Linked DNA regions of Arabidopsis thaliana. The protein of the gene in region 2 interacts with the protein of the main gene of each other region in a biochemical or structural test. Each region holds a gene or a part of one and is shown on either strand. Other genes may lie near its edges.

What was found.
Region 1: the proteins of CAND1 (region 2) and CUL1 form a complex in vitro, tested with the Arabidopsis thaliana proteins (one study listed by BioGRID).

What each region holds. Positions count from the first base shown.
Region 1 is NC_003075.7:1,126,988-1,134,330, reverse strand, and holds CUL1 (cullin 1), read right to left. Parts: upstream 5,817-7,343; 5' UTR 5,668-5,816; exon of another isoform or gene 5,574-5,667; 5' UTR 5,518-5,573; exon of another isoform or gene 5,473-5,517; intron 5,049-5,472; 5' UTR 5,017-5,048; coding exon 4,886-5,016; intron 4,800-4,885; coding exon 4,700-4,799; intron 4,526-4,699; coding exon 4,340-4,525; intron 4,258-4,339; coding exon 4,210-4,257; intron 4,121-4,209; coding exon 3,917-4,120; intron 3,829-3,916; coding exon 3,751-3,828; intron 3,551-3,750; coding exon 3,461-3,550; intron 3,379-3,460; coding exon 3,298-3,378; intron 3,176-3,297; coding exon 3,116-3,175; intron 3,036-3,115; coding exon 3,006-3,035; intron 2,902-3,005; coding exon 2,815-2,901; intron 2,724-2,814; coding exon 2,574-2,723; intron 2,501-2,573; coding exon 2,445-2,500; intron 2,259-2,444; coding exon 2,138-2,258; intron 2,046-2,137; coding exon 1,884-2,045; intron 1,799-1,883; coding exon 1,655-1,798; intron 1,573-1,654; coding exon 1,354-1,572; and 6 more. Other genes in the region: LD (Homeodomain-like superfamily protein), read left to right, coding at 6,079-6,243, 6,537-6,564, 6,718-6,848, 6,978-7,343.
Region 2 is NC_003071.7:688,224-692,792, forward strand, and holds the start of CAND1 (cullin-associated and neddylation dissociated), read left to right. Parts: upstream 1-1,560; 5' UTR 1,561-1,712; intron 1,713-2,088; 5' UTR 2,089-2,121; coding exon 2,122-2,157; intron 2,158-2,239; coding exon 2,240-2,415; intron 2,416-2,515; coding exon 2,516-2,723; intron 2,724-3,012; coding exon 3,013-3,178; intron 3,179-3,456; coding exon 3,457-3,586; intron 3,587-3,771; coding exon 3,772-3,886; intron 3,887-4,098; coding exon 4,099-4,256; intron 4,257-4,343; coding exon 4,344-4,467; intron 4,468-4,569. Other genes in the region: AT2G02550 (PIN domain-like family protein), read left to right, coding at 374-541. UniProt on the Arabidopsis thaliana protein: Key assembly factor of SCF (SKP1-CUL1-F-box protein) E3 ubiquitin ligase complexes that promotes the exchange of the substrate-recognition F-box subunit in SCF complexes, thereby playing a key role in the cellular repertoire of SCF complexes.

The sequences.
Region 1 (7,343 bases), on a different chromosome or scaffold from region 2:
CTTGAAGCCCGTTGGAATTTGCTGATTCTTATAATTTGCACATCTCCTCGCAGCTTTTTCATCATAGTGCAATGGCATGATTCTTTGTTTGTTTAACAGAATCTCAAGCAAATAAAAAGTGAGAAACATTTGCTCGATGGAGTAAAATGACTCCGCACCTCAAAACATATATGAACAGAATTTCTCCATGTCGTATATATCATTCTCTGTGTAGGCTCCAAATATCGTCTTTGATGATCCGTTCATAATTCATATTAACCCAAAAAAGAAAGAAAAAAGCACATTGGAATCAAGTAATATAATCCACCAGCTCCACCATTAACCCGTTCAAAATTGTTATTAACCTTAACATACCCGTCTTTGTATCCCAATAATATTTCAGATCATCATACAACAGAAAAACGGCTTAAAATATAAGACATTGGTCCTAAGCAGAAACTATTACGGTTCTGGTGGACTATAGCTAATGACGTAGATGATTACAATGATTTTTAATGTTCGGCGATTGAGGAAGGCACCTTCCGTCGGTTCATCTTTGTCTCATTAGCGTTCGATTATAAGAAATCTCATATTATTTGTTACGACTTTCCCATCCGTCAATATAACACAGAGATACATAAAACTTAAATAATATGATCAAGGATAAATATATTAGAAAGCAGAGATTCATTCATTAAGGCCATTTCTCCATCTCCATTCAATATTTAAGAAACAAAAATCCACAAGGCAAATTTGCATCCCAAAAAAAAAGCACAGACCGAATATTTTTTAAAAGAGAAAAATAGCGAAAATGAAGCGATAAATTTGTTTTAGGACAGTCTCCATATGGACTTCTAAATATACAAGCAGATTCCTTTCATGAGCCAACCACTTCCATAGTTGTTGTTTTTTTGCCCTAAGCCAAGTACCTAAACATGTTAGGATTCTCCTTGTCCCTCTCCAAATAATCTCTGGTTATTAAATCCTCCATACGCTTCTTGATCGCTTTGATATCAGGCTGCAACAAACATCACAAATCCAATGAGTTTCATCACCACGTGCATCTTCAAATGTCTCTGTATAAATATAATTATATGTATAATTTACCTTGAACATTCGGCTAAGTTGCTCAACACACTCAGAAACAAGTTGTTGATGTCCCAATACTTTCCTGCTCTTCATGATCCTGACAATGGCAGCATCAATTGCATATCTTCTGTCTTTATCGACATCTTCAACGACTTTCTTCCTTTCATCAACTGGGGGAAGAGGGATCTGTGACGCAAATCACCCAAGTTGATGTTAGTTATTAACAATATGTAAAACATGACATAAACTTGCAGACTTTTGAGTATTACTATTAACGTCACAAACCTTGATTCTGCGCATTCTATCGGTGAATTTGGAGTTGAACTCAAAGGCATCATTCTGGGAGACAGTCTTGGTGTTTGGCTCCTTAAGGAGTATCTTGTACTTAGCACATGACAAGGAATGAAGCAACCTAACTAGATCTTCATGGCTTAGGTTCAGTTGAGCCAAGATCTCAGTGTAACTTAACTTGTCAGTTGTGTTAAAGAGTAGAAGCACAGCAGCCTATAGAGACAGAGAACGTGGCATCAGAGTCCGTTTACAGATAGAAAATATATATCAGTATTTTCTGAGAAACATACAGTACCTGGTAAGTAGACACTATTAACTCGATGGCCTTTTGATCAAACTTCCCGTTTATGTGACAAGTTCCCAGTGAATAGATCCACGTAAGCTTCCTGTGTTTCGTTTTCGTTTCATAAAACCCTTTGAAGACTTCAACACACTTGATCTGAAACAAAGAATCAACGAATTAGATCTATCAGAAGCAAACAATCTCCTTTTCAGGTATGTAAGAAAATCAATAGAGTTTTTACCATTTCACTGGGTAGATTTATGTCAAATGATTTGTAACTTGGCCAGAAACCAGTGGTAAGAACAGTGACGGTCAAGTCAATCCCTGGGTTTGCAGCAGGGTTACTGCCTAGATAATCCTCGAAACTGTTTTGGTTTTCTCTTGCCAGTGTCAAATCCGTCACCTGTCACCAGCGGATTAAAATTATATAGAAAACATAAGTCATCAGAGCACGCACCGCTTTAAAATAAGAAACACAGGGACACTCAAACTAACCATGCCCTCCATCTTAGAAGTAAACTGTCCACCACATTGTTGCTTGAGCTTTGTCAGGATACTTCTCTCATGATCATCATTAGCACTGCGATCAAATAAGAGCCTACGGGCCAGCTTCTTCCTGCAATCAAAACCATAAACAAAATGGCTTGCAACTCAGTAATCCAACTTATGTCAATCAAATTGTATATTGTTGCAAGGCATCTCCACAAAAAGCTAGTAAAAACAAAACATTACAAGAAAAACAAAGAGTAGAAGCAAAAAGAGTCGATCCACAGATAAAGAAAGATTGAAGTTGGAGATAAACCTGTAGAACTCAGCGAAAAGATCCTTGTCACTTATGTATGCAAGCAATTTGACAACCTGTAACAACATTATAAAATTCAGGACCACTCTTTGGAGACTTGAAAAAGAAAAAACAGTTTGACAAAAGTACCTTCTCAAGCGTATCTTCGATAGCTTCATCACTCAGCTTTTCACTTCCCCCCTTTTTGAGAATATTGTCGCAAAATGTTGCAAGTAGTTCTGCACTTGAACTTCCAGCAACCGTTTTGTTACAAAAAATCTCAAATGCCTCTTTCAAAGCCTAAAATATGTTTCCATAAACTTAGGTTAGTAACACAACATAAACATGAATAAGATAGACAAATGACAAGTGCGCAGAAAGAACATTAGACCTTATGGAAGAGGGTGTGGTTCTGGAAACACTCGGTGACATATACCATGTATTTATCATGAAGTTCAATCACTTTTCTGATAAGAACCTGGAAATAATGAAAGGACAGTGAATCGTTAGCAATTTTATCCCCAAAAAAAATGAATCTCTAATTTCCAATATATCTTTACTACAATCGGTTTATAATTTTACCTGTTCCTGGACGCTAGCAGTATTTGCAACCTGTGGAATAAAAACGATCTTAGCAATCACAAACGAAGAAAGAAGAGTTATCCGAATATAACAAGTAAGATAATATGAACCTGATTAGTAGCCGTGTCTTCGGCCTGTTGGACAAGAGCGTTACCCTCTGCTGTGACATGCTGTGAACGAATAACAAGTTACAGTTAATGTCATACAGTAATTAAGAGACTGCAAGTAGACCATGAAGAAAAGACTATCCATTTGCTAATCATAAACAAAAGAATGAAGATAGGTAATAAACCTGCTTAAAGATGTTTGCAACAGGTTCCAAGCCTCGCAAAATTTTATGGTAAAGCCTGTACATCCTGGAGAGATCATCCACCTGAAAGTAGACAAATATAACCATTAAAGAAATAATTAAGTCACTAACTACTCAACAATAAAAACAAAAATACTTGCTCTACCTTGTCATCTCTTAGCAATGCACGGCACCCTGAGTGTTCTTTTTCTAGAAGCTGACTTGCAAACACAACCAGCAATTCATGTTGTACTTTCTGCATACAAAAGATTACTATACAAGTCAAACAGATATCAATCTTTAAAATCAAGTATGCCTGGACTACGCATTTAAAAAGAGTCTGGAAAGTATCTCAATACAAATAACAAAATTCAAAATCAAGGCTTATGCAAGATCTATGGTTTCTTCATCAAACCTACAAGTACAGGCATAATTACATAGTGCATAATAACCAACCTCAACCAGCTTTGGCTCACTGCTTGAGTGTAGGTAGTGAGCCACTCTCTCCCTCTCCTTCTTTAGACATTCTTCAGACTGTAACATGAAAGCACAGAAGTTAATAAATAATTTCAACTATTGTGAAATAAAAACAAATTTTAGAAAATGATATCACGAGTCATGCCTTCAACATGTAATCAGGGCAAGAATCTTCCTGAATCCAGCTTGATGCCTTGCGAGAATAATACGAAGAAGTATCTTGAAGCATGAAGCTTTCAAAATCTTCTTCATACCTCTCCATCTGCCCCATTCCAATCTCTACATAGATATCTAATACGTTTTTCAGCAGGGCCCTATCAATCTGCTCGCCCTCCCGTTCTTTATCAACCTGACAGAAGAACAGGTCATGTTAGACCTTGAATCAGGCAAAAGCCAGAGTTGGATGTAACTGCACAACAATATTGACGCCATACTTACAAGAGCTATTACAGCTTGTTTGACCTTAGAATGTAGCTCATTATAAACCTGAAGCGAACAGAATCAAGGAAAAGTTAAAAATATTTCAATACAACTGAAAGCTATAAAGCCACAGGAATGAATGCCATACCAGGTCACGGAAGCATGTCAGGCCAACTTCATTCAGTGGTGGAAGTGATCTCCGAGCAATGAAGTAACGGTCAAGGTAGTAGAAGAAGCGGGATAGCCATCTGACCATTACTTTATGGTTTGACCATCTTTTAAATAGCTCCCGCAGCATAAACTCATCATGCTTCTCCCTCAACGCAGGCAAAACCTAACCACAGACAACAAGAGAGCAAACATTCAAAACCGTTTGAATCAACTTAAAACCAAGAGGGGACAGGACTTCTTGACATATGAAACCATGCACAAAAGTGGCATCTTAAAATTCAGAGGTAGTAAAAACGAGAAGTTTATAAGAAAGAAACTAAATATCAATCAGACTCACTGTTGAGTTAATATATTCCTCAAATGCTTCCCGATACTTGTCATAAAGCTGCTGTGAGTAATCATGAGGAGGTTTCTGGGTGCACATGTTGTAGATAGTCCTGAGAATCAAATAAATTCCCCATCATAAGTATCAGGACAAACAGCCAAACCGCTATATAAGGTAATAAACAAGTATAAAACCTACGTATAAAGCATCATATATTGCTCAGAGTCAAATGCTGGCTCATTCAATCCTTCCAGAATCCGTTTCAGCTTAGTAATTCCAGTCTGCATATAGTCCCATCCTTGCTCCAAGTCAATAGTCTTGCGCTCCATGTTGACAAACAACTTTTCAAGCTCTCCTCAACCTAAGTTAACCAAAGAACAAGGAGAAAACCAAAATTTAGAACAGCAGTATTAAGCAACACAATGAAATGACTGAAGCGAGAGAGTCAACAATATTTATCATTCTTCAGAGGTTATAATAACACGTTAACACCCACATTATCGAATGCGAAACGAGTATTATCACCCAAATCAAACCCAAACTATCAGATTGTGCGCAAACGAGGACATAAGCATCAGAATATACTCGAGAAACAATCAATCCATGAGATAAACACGAAATTACACAGTAGAAACGCAATCCAGAGACTCCGACGTAACCCTAACAATCTCGATCCCACAAAAATTCAAATAAAAACCTAGAAAGACGAACAATCAACAGAATGATAAAAAAATCAACTGTCGTATGGAACAAAACAAGCGAGAATCCGACAGAAATAGTGATACCTCGAGATCTTAAACCCTAATAATCAGAAAATCGCGTCGCCGTACCCCAAACAGACCCTGACGATTACCGATTCCCGATTACACAGGATCGGCGAGAGCTGCTGCGATCGAAAAAGAAGCGAGAGAGAGAGAGAATCAAAACCCTAAGAATCGTTCAGGAAAAAAGCGTAAAATAGAGAGAAAGAGAGACGAGACCTATGAGAAGGGCGGTGAAAAGATATCTCAGGAAACAAACTCGTTCTCTTCTATTCTATTATTTTCAGGTCTTATAGATTTAATTATTTTTATTTTATGTCAACTAATATATTAGTATAATATTAAACAAATTTAATTTCTTACCTTTTCAGAGATCTACATCAAGACGCTGCGTTTTATAATTTTTCTTTGTAAAGTAACTTATTTACTTTTATGCCCCTTTATTTTGCCTTCCTTACTCAAACCCTAACCCGAATCGGCTTTTTGACAATCCGAAATTAGGTAACCATGTTCATTGAATTTATCGTTTCAACACATTCGAATCACTGAGTCCTACGTTTCAGTTTAATTCCCTGATGCACATTTTGAATTCGGTTTGCGTATTGGTCTTCGAGTTTTCCGTCGGCGGCCATGGACGCGTTCAAGGAGGAGATAGAAATCGGGAGCTCGGTGGAGTCTTTAATGGAGCTATTGGATTCGCAGAAGGTGCTTTTTCATAGCCAGATCGATCAGCTCCAAGATGTCGTCGTTGCGCAATGCAAACTTACCGGCGTTAATCCCCTTGCGCAAGAAATGGTGGGTTATTGTTTCTATGTTTTTTGGTATCTAAAGTTCGTGTTTTATTGGGGTATGGTGATATGGGCAAAGCTGAGAGGGACAGGTCATTCGGATTTTGGAATAAATTCTTTGAAGGGTATTGAGTCTAGCAAAAATTAGAGGTGTTTTTGGTATAAATTCATATAGCTCGACCTCTCCGTTTCTTCTGTGAACTGTAATGGTGATGCTTCAACTGTTTATATGTCATTTCTCTGATCAAGTAATCATCTCTGTTAAAGACATTAATCTGTTTAATTTTTTTGTTGTTTCAGGCTGCTGGTGCTTTGTCCATTAAAATTGGTGAGTCATCTTAGGATTCGTGAGATCTTTTGGCATAATTACGTATATCACAGAGAATGTTTCAATTCATTGTTGCTCTCTAGGTTCATTAAAGGCATACCCAACTTTTACGTGCTCGATGCCTAGTATCTGATGAATTTGTAAATATTTCAGGAAAGCGGCCAAGAGACTTGTTGAATCCTAAGGCTGTTAAGTATCTACAAGCAGTTTTCGCAATTAAAGATGCTATTAGTAAGAGGGAATCTCGGGAGATAAGTGCTTTATTTGGCATCACAGTCGCCCAGGTATTGTTCTTCTACATGATATGTACTCTTTTTTGCCATGCTTTTAGAATTCCATGTCAGTTTAGATCTGTCATGTTGAGGTACTCATGAGACTTTGGTTTGTCTCTTTATTATTTTCTTCAATGGCAGGTTCGAGAATTTTTTGTTACTCAAAAGACAAGAGTGAGGAAACAGGTGAGGCTTTCAAGGGAGAAAGTAGTTATGTCCAATACGCATGCTTTACAAGATGATGGTGTTCCGGAAAATAACAATGCCACAAATCATGTTGAACCCGTTCCCTTGAACTCTATACATCCGGAGGCATGTTCTATAAGCTGGGGTGAAGGTGAAACAGTGGCACTTATTCCACCTGAAGATATTCCACCTGACATCAGCGATTCAGACAAATACTTTGTTGAGAATATATTTTCTCTGCTGCGTAAAGAGGAAACATTTTCAGGCCAGGTGAAACTAATGGAGTGGATCATGCAGATACAAGATGCTTCTGTGCTGATC
Region 2 (4,569 bases):
GAAAAATAAAGACAACGAAAAAGAAACTAAAGAAGAAGCAAAATCTTACGATTTTTCAGAATTCACAGACGATAATTTTCTGGAGATGTGCATTCTTTGCGATTGTGACTATTTTAAATGGCCATTAACGGAGGGATCCGAAAGAGCATATGAAATAATTGGTACTAAAACTATACGTGGTAGAGAGGTACTTTTTACTTGGTTTAGTTCAAAATAGTAGTATACTATACATTTAGATTTTGTATTTGCATGTATGATGACATGATGTGTGTTATTCATTTTCTTTCAGGTAATAGAGGAACTACTAGAGGACAGCACTGACCTAACTTCTCATCTGAAAAAATTCATAATTTTGTTGCTTTTCAAATATTAGTATGTCTATAATCAAGTAATTGAAGAGCTTCAACACTTGAATGTGCCTGAGGTGTCTAACCTTCCATTCTTGCGTGACCGTGAGTCTGGCGATGAATTTGTCATTCGAAAGTATGAAGATTCTACGGGCACATATTTGTCAACAACTAAGACTAAGGAAATAGCATAAGGAAGACTTAATCCTGAAACCCACGAAAAATTTACACACGTGGAAGTGGAAGAAACAGATGACGAAGAAACTACTTAGACAAAAGTATCTAATAATTTGAATTTCGAAGTTCTAGTTCAAAATAAAGGAAGTCTAATTTCGACAAAAAATCTCACATCTATACCATATTTTACGGTTTTAGTTTTTTTTAGTCGTTAGCAACAATGACAATCAGTTATATTTTGTTAACTTTATAATCGTTAGCGATGACTATCGACAATGAAATCATGTTTATTTGGTAGTCGTTGGGTCGGGAACATTTAACAAATGATTTTGATTCAATTTTTTTTTTTTCTTATAAACCTTATCGGCTGATCTGGTTAGCCCTAGTAAAAACACACCGAAATGTTTTCGAGTGGACTTCTTCCCGAAAAACCACCATACTGTCTGTCTGTCACGAGTTTGAAATGCTTTCTGACTAATGCCAGGGGGTAGTCAGGCGGCCGCCTACATTTCTAATTACCAAGTAAACCAATTAAACCAAGACCCAACTTATACACTTACCAACTTTCAAGGAGAATCGAACTCGGGTCTAAGAGTTTCATCCTTCCCAAAGCTTCCCCTACCACTAAACCACATATACTTGGCCTAGGTTGAAAACTTTCAGTGATACAATTTTTTACTTGCTAATCGTTCAAAAATATTGACCATAAATTGTCGATGAACCAATGGCTAACACTATTTAGTTGGTTGGTCGCAATCGCATAGCATGTCCCTGACACAAAAAAAGCAAACAAAAAAAGAACTACTTGGATCAAACAAAGAAACCCATGCTTGGGCTCAGACTGAAAACAAAGTAATTGGGCCAAACCCATTTAGTATTAACCGACTAATCAAGTCCAACAATGTACAGCATGAAATAAACGCTACCCATTAACCGACTCAAATCGCACCAAGTCAGGCCCAATTAATCCTACACAGGCCCATTTAGAAGAAAGTTAACTTCCTCCTTAAGAAGAGAGAAGGGCTAAAAATCAAGCTTTCACGAGTACGGAAATTTACAGTATCTCCTCCATCTTTTTTTACTTTCCTCAGAGCTCTCTCCTCTCCGCAACTTCCACCACCACCAAATCGGAACTCTCGGCGTTCTACTCCGTCTCCGGCGTTACCTCCGTCGATTTCATCTTCTCAGGTTACTTAGGGTTACCTCTTTTTTGCTTTTTGATCGATAAAGTGTGATGATGTCTAGCGTTAACTCTTTTCGTCTTCGTAGTCGTAGTCTTAGGGTTTTGGTGGCGACGATACTTTGATTTATCAAACCGAACTTCTTCTTTGTGATCTTCGATGAATCAAAAGTTTTCTAAGGGATATTAATTAGGTTTTGTTACCGGCGATAATTAATCCATCTTCGATGCTTCTTCTTTACACTTCTGACTTTGTTTCTGATGTTTTAACCTCTGTGGAGAGCTTGATAGAGTGACATTGCTCTGACTAAGCGTTTTAGTTCAACGCATGGTTGATTCTCTTTTTACTAAGTAATGAATTTTGAGATCCTTGTTTGATTGCAGTTGGAAGGAGTGAATTGAGAAGGTCGGGCCAATATGGCGAACTTACAAGTTTCTGGGATACTCGAAAAGGTCTTTTCATCATCTGTTTCTAATTAAGCTTAATTTTGTTTTTGAGTATAGTCACCTTTTCTCATTGCTGTATTTACTATAGTTTCAGATGACGGGTAAAGATAAAGATTACAGATACATGGCAACCTCTGATTTGCTTAATGAGTTGAATAAGGATTCCTTTAAAATCGACCTGGACTTGGAGGTGAGATTGTCGAGTATCATATTGCAACAGCTCGATGATGTGGCTGGTGATGTTTCTGGATTGGCTGTTAAATGGTTAGCTTTCTGCTCTTAGCAACTTATGACCTAAGCTGATGTTATACTTTTACATTTAGCTGATCTATCGTCGACCTTTGATGTTATGATTTTGTTCCAGTCTTGCTCCATTGGTGAAGAAGGTTGGAGAAGAACGAATTGTTGAAATGACCAACAAGTTATGTGATAAACTGCTGCATGGGAAAGACCAGCATCGTGATACCGCAAGCATAGCTCTCAGGACTGTTGTCGCTCAAATTGCTCCTACGCTTGCTCCATCTATTCTTGTTACTCTAACACCACAAATGATAGGAGGAATAAGTGGCCAGGTTAGTTGTTGGGAGGTCTATTCCTTATTATTTCGATTGCATATGCGACAGTGCTTAGGGTCGTCCTAGACAATTTCGGATCCCATCAAAATCATATTGATTGACATCTATTGGAAAATTAGTTGATTTTACGTTTTAAGTTTTATTGGATCTAATACAGTTAAAGAACTCTGTCTGAAAAACTCTTAGTAGACCAGAGCACAGTATATGCATATAATTATTTGTCTACTCTAAGGTTCTATCATCTTATTTTACAAGTAACTAATTTTCTGCGTATTTACTGCTGAAGGGAATGAGCTCAGGGATCAAGTGTGAATGTCTTGAGATCATGTGTGATGTTGTTCAAAAATATGGAAGTTTAATGACGGATGATCACGAGAAGCTATTGAATACATTGTTATTGCAATTGGGCTGTAACCAAGCCACAGTCAGGAAGAAGACTGTTACATGCATTGGTAAGTTCATAAAATTGAGTCAATATGATTGCTGGGTACTGTCGGTACTAATGTCAATATTTAGCTAATTTGAAACCAACTTTAATCTGCCGAGACTTGAGTGGTAGCTTTCCTTATCTATATTAGAAATATGGTTTTCAGCTGTTTGCGTCAATTCTTGTGAAACCGATGCTAGTTCAAATGATATATTCAATGTCATTTTTTTCCTAGTCGTATATAGAACTCTTAATTCGATGGTATATAGCCTCTTCTAAGTTCAAAATTTTGTGTGGTGTCAGCTTCTCTTGCTTCCAGTCTGTCTGATGATTTGCTCGCGAAGGCGACTGTTGAAGTTGTGAAAAATCTAAGTAACAGGAATGCAAAATCGGAGATTACACGTACCAATATTCAAATGATTGGAGCTTTATGGTACTTCCTATCTTCCTTCTTATCGGCTTGTTATATATCTTTAACTTCTTACCATACGTTACTGTAGTGTTGTAGTATGCTTCGGTTAGTTGTACTTGTGCTACCTATTTATTGATTGGGATGAATGGTTATCTACGACTAGGCTTGCCATGGTTGTAATGCTATTTAATGCGTTTTTGTTTCAGCCGTGCTGTTGGTTACCGGTTTGGCACTCATCTAGGTAACACTGTGCCAGTATTAATCAATTACTGCACTAGCGCTTCAGAAAATGACGAGGAGCTTCGCGAGTATAGCTTACAGGTATCGTGCAAGATTCCCTAATGTTCCTACTTTCTCACTACGCTTGCATTTTTTGTTTTCTCATCTAATTTTTGTAATCAGACAATTACTTAGGCGTGCTTGTAGTCTCTTTTCTTTCCTATGCTATTAAATTGGAATTCTAATCTTAGGTTCAATAAAATTGGTATGAACAATGTAGACGATAACATGTCTGTTCTGAAATTTGACTGCAGGCACTTGAAAGTTTCTTGCTACGATGTCCCAGGGACATCTCACCATATTGTGATGAAATTTTAAATCTTACTTTAGAATATATTAGTTATGACCCGAATTTTACGGACAATATGGAGGAAGATACTGATAATGAGACTCTTGAAGATGAAGAAGATGAGTAAGTTCTGATTTATTCATTGGAACAGTAGCCTAGCTCCTTACGGTGCACCATTATCTCACTGAAATAAGTCTTTCTTTCTCACAGCGAGAGTGCAAATGAGTACACAGATGATGAAGATGCCAGCTGGAAAGTTAGGAGAGCAGCGGCCAAATGCCTAGCAGGATTAATCGTTTCGCGTTCTGAGATGCTCACTAAAGTATATCAAGAGGTATATCTTTTTTAAATGATCAAGCGTATTATCTTTCATGACGGGAGTGTACAAGATTCCCTTACACAAGAGTTTTTCATTCTTTTACCTGTGTTTGATTAA